3 linked regions of the Macaca mulatta genome follow. The main gene of each other region encodes a partner of the protein of the gene in region 2 in a complex. Links are inferred from orthologs where the notes say so. Each region holds a gene or a part of one and is shown on either strand. Other genes may lie near its edges. The genes, in order: USP39, LSM4 and LSM7.

Region 1 (2,422 bases), on a different chromosome or scaffold from region 2:
TCAAGAGAACTTGCTGAGGCTGACTGGCTGCCTCCAGCTGCTTCCCACATCTTTGGACCTGCCACAGTGCTCATGCCAAGGTCACCCTTCTTCTAGGCTGCTAGAGCCCACTACAGAGCTGATGAATTGTCTGACAGGGAATCTTTGCCCTGGGGCTCCACACTGGCCTGGTTGAGACCTTCTCAGAATTGCACTGTAGTGAGAAGAACTTCGTATTTCCTTTCTTTCCTCTTCCCTTACTCATTCCTGCACTGCAGCCGGAGACTGCCCACCTCTGGCCTTCTAGTTAAGCACAATAATAATGTATCCCCTTGACTCAAGCATTTTTCTACTTAGAAATAAATGCATCCTAACTGACACACCACCCACAAGCTGACAGGAAACGGCGAGCATGGTGTCTGCCAGATGTCAGACTGTAGGGTAGTTTGTGAAGATTAAAAAGGAAAATATTTTCCTCAGCTAACCACCAAATGAAAAGATATAAAACAAGAGGCTAGTTTAAAAACAGGAGAATATTTAATCCATCTAAAAATACACATCAGGAAATGAAGGAAACCATAGGAAAATCCTCCACCTCTAACAGACAAGAGTGAGGTTACTGGCTTTCTGCTTGCTCCAAGAATCCCAAGGCTTGATGTTTGGAAGAAATTATCTGTTCTTCAGCTACTCCCAGATACTCAGACATAAGTTACACACATCTGGAGAAGGGTTCTGCCCTGCTGAAGCTAGAAGGGAGCTCGATGCATGGGAGAAAGGAGCATTAATCTAGAAAAAAATGATCAAAGAACAGCTGGGTGACAGTGTGGGGCCATCCCAGGCAAGTGGGCTCCTGGTGCTCTGGTGTAGCCAGAATCCATACAAGCTGGGCTGGCCCAGGGAGGCCCCCAGTCAGCCTGTAGCTGAATAGCTACAGCTTCTGTGTTCTTATTTACCATCATCAGCCACAGCCCTCGGAAGCAAAGCCCTGGACGCCTCCTTCAAGCCCCCTGCTGGTTGGTTTCATCATTATCTCGCCTCTTCCAAATCTGTAAGAAATGAAAACACAAACTGAAGTCTAGGAGGCATTCAGTCAACAGATACTTGTCAAATACCTATTCTGTGCCAGGCCATGGATAACTCGTCATGCCATTTACAAACCTGCTATACTCCATCTGGAAATCTGCTACAGTGGCTACAGTCACTGAAGGGAAGAAACAGTTATCTCTAGGAGAGGTATCACTTTCTTCTTACAAAGCTATGGCTTTTGTCTCAATCTTCCTTCTTTTGCCAGGTACTAGGGCAGTTACATAAAGAGAAGACAGAGATGCTCTGTGCTCCACGGGTCAATCCAATGGAGAGGACAGACAGGCAAAGCAATATGGTCGGCACTAAAACAAAAGGCAAGCAGAAAGTGCTGTGGGGTCACAAAGAGAGCTCTGCCTGGGGCTCTTGAGGAGTACTTCACAGTCGACTTCTAGCCAGCCTCCCTTCCTCCTTGAAACTAGACCGCACACTTCTGCAAAACTAATCTAGCCATAATCACAACTTTCTTTGCTCACTCATACATTTTCTTATAACTATTTTCTGAAAATCTCTGCTTGACTTTCAGGGCCATATATTCTGGCCCCAACTCACTCCTAAGTACTTCCCAACAGGTACCTGGCCCTCCAACCAAGGTCCTAACTCTATCCCTCTTCCTGCCTTGGCCCACTCCTCTCACTGGCCCCATACCCCACCTATTTGTGGCTCACTAAGCCTGTGGCCAACCCACCTGAATGTAAGCCTCTGACAGTGTGATCATCTGGGGAAGGATGTCAGTCACCTGGAGGTCTTGTAATTCATACCATTTGCCTGTCCCCTGCAGAAAGTATGAAGAGCTGGGTTAGTCTGCTCTCTAAAACCAAAAGGGTGTAGAAGGAAATGATCATAGCCAAGGTTAGAAAAATTAGAATAATAGCCACTAGACATCATCCAGCAAGAATCATAAAGAAGAGAGTACATGGGCCGGGCGTGGTGGCTCACGCCTGTAATCTCAGCACTTTTGGAGGCCGATGCGGGTGGATCACAAGGGCAGGAGATCAAGACCATCCTGGCTAACACGATGAAACCCCATCTCTACTTAAAATACAAAAAATCAGCTGGACGTGGTGGCGGGCGCCTGTAGTCCCAGCTCCTCAAGAGGCTGAGGCAGGAGAATGGCGTGAACCTGGGAGGCGGAGCTTGCAGTGAGCCGAGATTGCACCACTATACTCCAGCCTGGGTGACAGAGCGAGACTCTGTCTCAAAAAAAAAAAAAAAAAAACAGAGGGTACATGACTTCTGTGGGCCTGATTCAATTAACAGGACTTTTGATGTGTCAATCATGGCAAACTCAATTTTTTAAAGTACAGTTTTTTTTGTTTGTTTGTTTGCTATTTGGTTTGTTTTTTTGAGACAGGGTCTC
Region 2 (4,135 bases):
TGGGCATTGTGGCGTGTGCCTGTAATCCTAGCCACTCTGGTGGCTGAGGCAGGAGAATCCCTTAAACCCAGGACGGAGGGATTGCAGTGAGCTGAGATCCCACCACTGCACTGTAGTCTGGGTGATAGAATGAGACTCCATTTCAAAAAAAAAAAAAAAAAAAAATAGGGTCTTTGCAGATGTAATTAAGGATCTTGCGATGACATTATCCTGAATTTATGGTGGGCTTAATAAGAGAAAGGCGTGTCCTTATAAGAAAACGGAGAGGCTGGGCTCGGTGGCTCACGCCTGTAATCCCAGCACTTTGGGAGGCAGAGGAGGGAGGATTGCTTGACCCCAAGAGTTCGAGACCAGCCTGGACAACATAGGGAGACCCTGTCTCTACAAAAAAAGAAAAAAAAAAGGAGAGAGTCGTTTGAGACTCAGAGACACACAGAGAAGGCCAAGTGACGACAGAGGCAGAACGCGGAAGGCTGCATCTACAAGCCAAGAACTCCGAGGTTTCCCAGCAGCCACCAGAACCCAGGAGAGAAGCATAGGACACGCAGATTGTCCTCAGAGCCTCCAGAGGGAGCCAACCCTACTGACAACCTCATTTCATTATTCTGGTCTCCTGAATTATGAGAAAATCACGTTCTGTTGTTTTAAGCCTCCCAGTGTGTGGGCATTTGTTACAGCAGGCCCCAGGGAACTAATAGCATTCGCCTATTTACTTTGTTTACTGTCTGTCTCCCTAAGGGCCACGAATTTTGTGTACTGTTCATTTCTATGAGCAGAAGCAGGCACAGAATAGGTATTAAGTACTTAATATATGCCAGACGCTGTTTTAAGTGCTTTTACACGGTTTCATTCATTTCATCCTCATAGTAAGTAACGTTTTGGAGCAGACACTACTATTTACAGGGAGAAAACTGAGGCCCCGAGGGTCGTGGTCAGGATTCCAACCTACTAAATGATGTTCCCTGGATAATTACAGAATCAGAAAACTAGGAGTCCGAAGGGCGACACCAGGGACGTCCCAATCACCACGAAGCCTGGATTTCTCTCCCTCAACTGCAAAGGCAGTTACTGGCTTTGCCCACAGCGTGGAGCCCAGAAGACCGACGAAGGTTTCACCTGCGCACGCGTTTACCCACAATGCACCCCGCCCCGGCGCGCGTTGCTCCGCCCCCTTTTGTATTACAAGCCGCGGCACTTTACGGCTCTCTTCCTCGTTCCTCTGGCGGGAACACGGCCCGGCCCGCCCCTTTCGCCTAGCGGGCCCCGCCCCACTCCGCGTGGATTGGTTAACCGCCCTTCTAGCCCGGTGCTGACTGGCTCGCGTCTCTGCCACTTTCTTTCAGCCCAGTGGCGCGCGGCGCGGCGTGGCGAAGACCGCCGGGAGCGTGTGCAGCGGCGGCGGCGGAAGTGGCCGGCGAGCCCGGTCCCCGCCGGCACCATGGTGAGGGCAGAGCAACGGCGGGGTCTCACCGGGAGGCGGGAACCGCAGTCGTTAGGAGCCCTGCGGGCGGGCGCTGAGGGCTGGGTTGGCGCGGGGCGAACGTACGGTCCGAGCCTTGAGTCCCGTCCCCCGGCACAAGGCCGGGAAACTGATGCTGGAGACTGCAGGTGGTTCTACCACGTTCGTGTCTGGGATTTAGGGTTGCACGTACTCGTATCCACAGTACAGTGGCCTCGCCTTACTTAGTTTTCCCATTTTGCAGGTTGGGAAACTGAGGTTAAAAAAGTGGGGATCTGCCAAATGCAACAGAGAGTTTTTGGGCAGGGAAGGGGGTCCCTTACGCTTCGGACCCAGTCTGACCTCCCAGATTGAAACCTAGAGTGCTGGGAAGTAGGGGGCCAGTCTGAGTTGTGAAACTTGGTTTTAGGAATTTCAGAGCTTGTAAGATGCTTAAAATGCTAGCAGCAGAGCCTCCTAGGCCTCTTGTTTTCTGGCTGAAAAGTAGGCCTGGTGCTGGGGTGTGGTGTTTCTCCTTGGTTCACAAAGCATGTCATTCCAGAGGAAGGGAGCGTTTTGAGCTAGGGGTGGGCAAAGTACATCCTCCCCGTACACAGAAGGAAAAATTGCAGCCCAGGTCTCTGCAGGGCCACATTGTTTATGATTCTGTAAGTTCTGGATCTGGGCTAGAAAGTGCCTGTGTCTCCCAGTGTGCAGATCAGAAAAGGAATCCAGAGCTGGGAGTTTCCTGGCTCATCAGCATCTGGCCCTTCTTTTTTCAATGAGAGAAACCAAGGCCCTTGTTGGGGATGTGACTTCCAGACTGTGAGACAGTGGGAGATTCAGTAACCAGGAGGGCCCCCCAGGGGTGGCTGCATCAGAACTGTGGATTAGTGAGAGAGCTCTCCCTAAATCCAGCTGGTCAGTGTGTAGCCACCCAACGGGTTCACCTTGCCTGCTTCCTAGACAGAGCCCATTTATCAAGACAGGGCAATTGCAATACAGAAAGAGTATTTCACACAGAGCCAGCTATGCAGGAGACTGGAGTTTTATTACTGCTGAAATCAGTCTCCCCTGAGCATTAGGGGATCCGAGTTTTTAAAGATAATTTGGCGGGTAGGAGCTCAGGAAGTGGGGAGTGCTGATTGGTTGGAGCTTCCTGAGGTTGGAGATGGAGTCATTGGCGGGGGGGGGGGGGGGGGGGGGGCGGGGGCGGGGGTTGAAGTGAGATTTTCTTGCTGTCTTCTGTTCCTGGGTGGGATTGCAGGACTGGTTGAGCCAAATTACTGGTCTGGGTGGTGTCAGCTGATCCACCAAGTACAGGGTCTGCAAAATATCTCAAACACTGATCTTAGATTTTATAATAGTGATGTTATCCCTAGGAGCAATTTGGGGAGGTTCAGACTCTTGCAGCCAGAGGCTGTATGACCCGTAAACAATAATTTCTAATCGTGCAGCTAATTTGTTAGTCCTACAAAGGCAGACTGGTCCCCAGGCAAGAAAAGGGTCTTTTCGGGAAAGGGCTATTACCAATTTTGTTTCAAACTATACACTAAATCCCTTCCCAAGGTTAGTTCGGCCTATGCCCAGGAATAAACAAGAACAGCTTAAAGGTTAGAAGCACGATGGAGTCGGTTAGGTCTGATCTCTTTTCGCTGTCATAATTTCCTCAGTTACAATTTTTGCAAAGGCGGTTTCAAGAGCAAGGATTTAGAGAGCCTGTCCCTCTGCCATGTACTTAGAGGGCAGAGTTGGCATGCAAGACTGGGCAGAGCTGGAAGGATCCACCCGTGTTAAGTTTTGTGGAAGCAGAATCTTTTTTTTTCTTCCAACTATATTCCCAGTGTGTAGAACGGTGCCTGGGCAAAGTGTGAACTCATTCATTCAGCCCCTTCCCACCTTCTGAACATCCAGAGTCCTGGCTATCCAGCCATTTCCTGGAGGAGTGGCCAAGAATGGACAAGGCATCATGGGATACACACTTCCAGTTCCCTGTGATCAGGGCAGGGCCAGAAGGAGTGGCCTGGGTTAGGAGCGGGGATGGGCAGTCCTGGACAGCTTCCTGAATTAGGAGGCACTGGATTAGGTCTTTGTGGATCTAGACCTGAGAACCAGATTCCAGATGCTGCAAGAAAGCCCACTAAACCTCCACCTCTCGGAGAGAGTGATTTTCCTGCCTCAGCCTCCCAAGTAGCTTGGGATCACAGGCATGCGCCACCACGCCTGGATAATTTGTGTATTTTCAGTAGAGATGGGGTTTCACCATGTTGGCTAGGCTAGTCTTGAACCCCTGACCTCAGGTGATCCACCCACCTCGGTGTGTCAAAGTGCTGGTATTACAGGTGTGAGCCACTGCACTCTGTACTTTTTTTTCTTTTTTGGAACTGAGCTCTCACTGTCGTCCAGGCTGGAGTGCAATGGCACAATCACTGCAGCCTCAACCTCACCGGCCCAAGTGATCCTCCCACCTCAGCCTCCCAAGTAGCTGGGACCACATGCGTCACTAAACCTGTCTAATTCTTACATTTTTTGTAGAGACAGAATCTTGCTGTGTTGCCCAAGCTGGTCTCATACTCCTGGGCTCAAGTGATCCTCCCACCTCAGCCTCCCAAAGTGCTGTGATTATAGGCGCAAGCCACTGTGCCAAGCCTCACCTGGCACTTTGATGTATCTTCTTTTAAGATTTTGAGGATCCAC
Region 3 (4,351 bases), about 16 Mb from region 2:
GCATCTCTCTTGCCCGCTCCCCGCAAGCCCTGAGCTGCAGGGCTGGGATTTGTTCTTCTGTATTCCGTGAACTCACTGAGGGACCCAGCACGGGTCAGGCAGCGCAGTCACCACCGCTGTCCCAGCAGAGCACTCCGTCTCCCCTAGAGGAAGCCCTGTCCCCATCAGCTGTCACTGCCTGTCGCCTCTCCGGCACCCACACATCCCCTCCCTGTCTCTGTGGATTGGCCTGTCCTGGACCTTTCATAGAAACGGGATCACACGCTGCGCGGCCTTCTGTGGCTGGCGTCTCTCACCGAGCGTGGCGTCCTCAGGCGCGTCCTCAGGCACATCCGCACCGCGGCCTGCGCCAGCCTCGCTCCTCTTCCCGGCTGGTGGTTCCACCGCATGCATGTGCCGCGGCCTGTTTTGCTACTGTTTTGGAGCGGAGAATTGTTTTTATGACTTTTAAATATCTGGAAAGGGATCAAAAGAAGACTGTCTCATGATGTGGAAGTGATACGAAATTCCCGTTTCAGTGCCTGTGTGTCGAGCTGACTGGCCACGGTTCAGCCACACGTGGACTCATCACCGAAGCTGCTTCCACCCAGGCAGCCCGAGCCAGCAGCTGTGACCGGCACCCTGTGGCCCACACGGCCAGAAGTGTTTGTCCTCTAGCCCCCCGCAGACACAGTCGGCTGCCCATGGTGGGGGTCACTCTGGAGGCGCCTGTCACCAGCCCCTCCCGGGAGCCCTCCCCCACCCTCAGTCCTCCATCCCTGAAGCAGTGAGCCCCATGCCTGGGCCACGCTGGGGCAGGCCGTGTACCCAAGATGGATCTCATGCCTTCTCATTTCTCTCCCCCGGTGATTTCTCCAAGCCAGTGGAATCCTGAAGGGCTTCGACCCACTCCTCAACCTTGTGCTGGACGGCACCATTGAGTACATGCGAGGTGAGTGGGGCGGTGGCTGAGGCGGGCAGCGGGATGAGGAGGGCAGTGGGGTGAGGGGGCAGCAGGGCAAGGGAGGCGGCCATGGAGCTGCCTGCTGCCTCTTCCTCCCTGAAACCCACAAAACCTCACTCTGAGGCACCAACGTGAAGCCTTGTGTTGGCCGATGGACGGGCTGAGCGCTCACCGGTCCTGGACGTCCTCACAAAGCTGGAAACTCCATTGTTGTGGGGCCTGGAGAGACGGGGAAGCTTCCCCACTGGTCTCTACATACTGACAGGGCACTTAAAATGCTCGCAGCACAGTTAGAGGACAGGCTTTTTAAATGTTGTATTATTTCAGTTTTTGTTAAACTGGTGTCGCGAGGGGCCGGGCACGGTGGCTCACACCTGTAATCCCAGCTGCTCGGGAGGCTGAGGCAGGAGAATCGCTTGAACCCGGGAGGCGGAAGCTGCAGTGAGCCAAGATGGTGCAACTGCACTCCAGCCTGAGAAACAGAGTAAGACTCCGTCTCCAAAAAAAAGAGATAAGCTGAGGTCTCACTGTGTTGCCCAGGCTGGTCTCAAACTCCTGGGCTCACGCCATCCCCCTGCTTCAGCCTCCCAAAGTGCTGGGGTTCCAGGTGTGAGCTGTGGCACCCAGCCGAGAGCAGCCTTGCTGTGGGAGAGCGAGCGTGCTGTGGGACCCCTCTCGGGCCCCTCTCCTCTTCTGCCTTGTTAATCCCCACTATGAACGCAGGGCCCCCATCCCCTCCCCAGAGAACACTCCCTCATTTCCCTGCCCCTGCTCGCTCTCCTCCCCAGTGAGGCCGCCAGGTCCTCAGACTCTCCCCGCTAGAAGATCCTGCTGCAAGTCCCCAGCCCGGCCCAGGCATCGGGGGGAGGCCAGGACTTAGAAAGAGACAGTCTTACCCCTCGGACCCATTGATACTGACACAAGATTTATTCTTGGAGCTGGCCACGGTGGCTCATGCCTGTAATCCCTGCACTTTGGGAGGCCGGGACAGGAGGATCACTTGAGCCCAGGAATTTGAGACCAACCTGGGCAACATACTGGGACCCTGTCTCTACAAAAAAACAAAAAAAAAATGAATTAGCCAGGCATGACGGTGCATGTGCCTATGGCCCCAGCTACTCGGGAGGCGAAGGCAGGAGGATTGCTTGAGCCCAGGAGGTTGGGGCTGTGAGCTGGGATGACGCTACTGCACTCCAGCCTGAGGGACAGAGCAAGACCTGGTCTCTAAAACAAAAATGTTAAAAACCTGGGCCCCGTGGTTCTCCCATGCCCCCACCAGCACACGACCACAGTAGTGAGGAGTTTTCATTGCCGTCAGCCTCTTCAGAGCTTGTCTTGGGCTTGCTGGTACTTCCCTGGGGTGCCAGCCCACATGATCCCCACGTGGGTCCCACCCACATGAACAGCCTCTTTTTTTTTTTTTTTTTTTTTTGAGACAGTATCTCACTGTCACCAGGCTGGAGTGCAGTGGCGCCATCTCAGCTCACTGTAATCTCCGCCTCCCGGGTTCAAGCGATTCTCCTGCCTCAGCCTCCCGAGTAGATGGACTACAGGCGCCTGCCACCACACTCAGCTAATTTGTTGTATTTTTAGTAGAGGCCAAGTTTCACCATGTTGGCCAGGATGGTCTCAATTTCTTGACCTCGTGATCTGCCCACCTCAGCCTCTCAAAGTGCTGGGATTATAGGCGTGAGCCACTGCACCCAGCCCAGCCGCTTTTTTTTTTTTTTTCTTTCTGAGACGGAGTCTAGCTCTGTCGCCCAGGCTGGAGTGCAGTGGCCGGATCTCAGCTCACTGCAAGCTCCGCCTCCTGGGTTTACACCATTCTCCTGCCTCAGCCTCCCGAGTAACTGGGACTACAGGCTCCCGCCACCTCGCCTGGGTGTTTTTTTGTATTTTTTAGTAGAGATGGGGTTTCACCGTGTTAGCCAGGATGGTCTCAATCTCCTGACCTCGTGATCCGCCCGTCTCGGCCTCCCAAAGTGCTGGGATTACAGGCTTGAGCCACTGCGCCCGGCCAATTTTTTTGTATTTTTAGTAGAGATGGGGTTTCACCGTGTTAGCCAGGATGGTCTTGAATCTCCTGACCTCGTGACCTACCCGCCTCGGCCTCCCAAAGTGCTGGGATTACAGGCGTGAGCCACCGCACCCAGGCCCCAGCCTCTTATAGGGTGAAAATTGGCCCCCTAGGGTTCCAGGAACCCTGCAGAGACCAGGAGGCCCGGGGTGCCTGTATTCTGGCTGGCCATCTGATAACCTGGTCCCCAGCCCTGGTGCCTGGGCTCCAGTGAGCTCCAAGACCCAGGGTAGCCGGCTGTCGCTCAGGCCTCCCTGTTCCTGTGGTTTGTGGAGTGAGGGCAGGCTGTGGCTGCTGTCTGTGGAGCTGTCGCTGGTCTCTAGGGGCTGTGGGTCTGAGCCATGGGAGCCGGGGACCTGCCCCGCAGAGTGCACCCCCTCTGGGGTCCCCACATGCTCATGGCACCCGCAGGGTGCAGGTGGGGAGGGCGGAGCGAGGGTCTTGTGTCGGTGGGAATTCTCAGAGGCCTCCTGGAGCTCCCTCAGCCCTCTCTGTCTGCTCCTTCCCAGACCCTGACGACCAGTACAAGCTCACGGAGGACACCCGGCAGCTAGGCCTCGTGGTGTGCCGGGGCACGTCTGTGGTGCTGATCTGCCCGCAGGACGGCATGGAGGCCATCCCCAACCCCTTCATCCAGCAGCAGGACGCGTAGCCGGGCCAGGGCTGCAGGACAGGCCGGAGCAGCTTGGTTCCCCACAGACTTGGCCGCCGTTCCCACCACGGTGCCACCTGCTGGAACGGAAGTGCTTTCCTTTTTGTATAGGTTGAATTTTTGTTTTCTTAATAAAACTGCAAACCTCATTGTGTTTGAGCCCCAGAATCTTGCTTTTCCCTTGACCTTCTGAGGAAACCTGTATTCTTGGAGATTGGACTCAGACCCTGGAGCTCATCAAATACCAGCCATGGTCCTTCCTGGGGGTGAGGGTTCACAGGTGACCAAGGCAGGTACAGGCAAGGCCGGGACAGGCGAGTCAGGAGCCTCAGTCCGATGAGGGGCTTGTGGAACCCCAGGCCAACCCCTGAGACAGCAGGAGCCGGGTGCATCAGGAGGGTGGGTGCATCAGGAGGGTGGGTGCATCAGGAGGGTGGGTGCATCAGGAGGGTGGGTGCATCAGGAGGGTGGGTGCATCAGGAGGGTGGGTGCATCAGGAGGGTGGGGTGCATCAGGAGGGTGGGGTGCATCAGGAGGGTGGGTGCATCAGGAGGGTGGGTGCATCAGGAGGGTGGGTGCATCAGGAGGGTGGGGTGTATCAGGAGGGTGGGTGCATCAGGAGGGTGGGGTGTATCAGGAGGGTGGGGTGTATCAGGAGGGGGGGTGTATCAGGAGGGTG

Evidence for each region.
Region 1: LSM4 (region 2) and USP39 share a complex: the UniProt entries of both Homo sapiens proteins name them as parts of the U4/U6-U5 tri-snRNP complex. The link is inferred for Macaca mulatta from reciprocal best matches to the Homo sapiens genes LSM4 and USP39.
Region 3: LSM4 (region 2) and LSM7 share a complex: the UniProt entries of both Homo sapiens proteins name them as parts of the precatalytic spliceosome. The link is inferred for Macaca mulatta from reciprocal best matches to the Homo sapiens genes LSM4 and LSM7.

What each region holds. Positions count from the first base shown.
Region 1 is NC_133418.1:38,743,427-38,745,848, forward strand, and holds the end of USP39 (ubiquitin carboxyl-terminal hydrolase 39), read right to left. Parts: intron 1,838-2,422; coding exon 1,751-1,837; intron 1,026-1,750; coding exon 978-1,025; 3' UTR 515-977; downstream 1-514.
Region 2 is NC_133424.1:18,849,960-18,854,094, reverse strand, and holds the start of LSM4 (U6 snRNA-associated Sm-like protein LSm4), read left to right. Parts: upstream 1-1,332; 5' UTR 1,333-1,438; coding exon 1,439-1,441; intron 1,442-4,135. UniProt on the Homo sapiens protein: Plays a role in pre-mRNA splicing as component of the U4/U6-U5 tri-snRNP complex that is involved in spliceosome assembly, and as component of the precatalytic spliceosome (spliceosome B complex).
Region 3 is NC_133424.1:3,071,124-3,075,474, reverse strand, and holds the end of LSM7 (U6 snRNA-associated Sm-like protein LSm7), read left to right. Parts: intron 1-296; exon of another isoform or gene 297-455; intron 456-859; coding exon 860-931; intron 932-3,529; coding exon 3,530-3,672; 3' UTR 3,673-3,821; downstream 3,822-4,351. UniProt on the Homo sapiens protein: Plays a role in pre-mRNA splicing as component of the U4/U6-U5 tri-snRNP complex that is involved in spliceosome assembly, and as component of the precatalytic spliceosome (spliceosome B complex).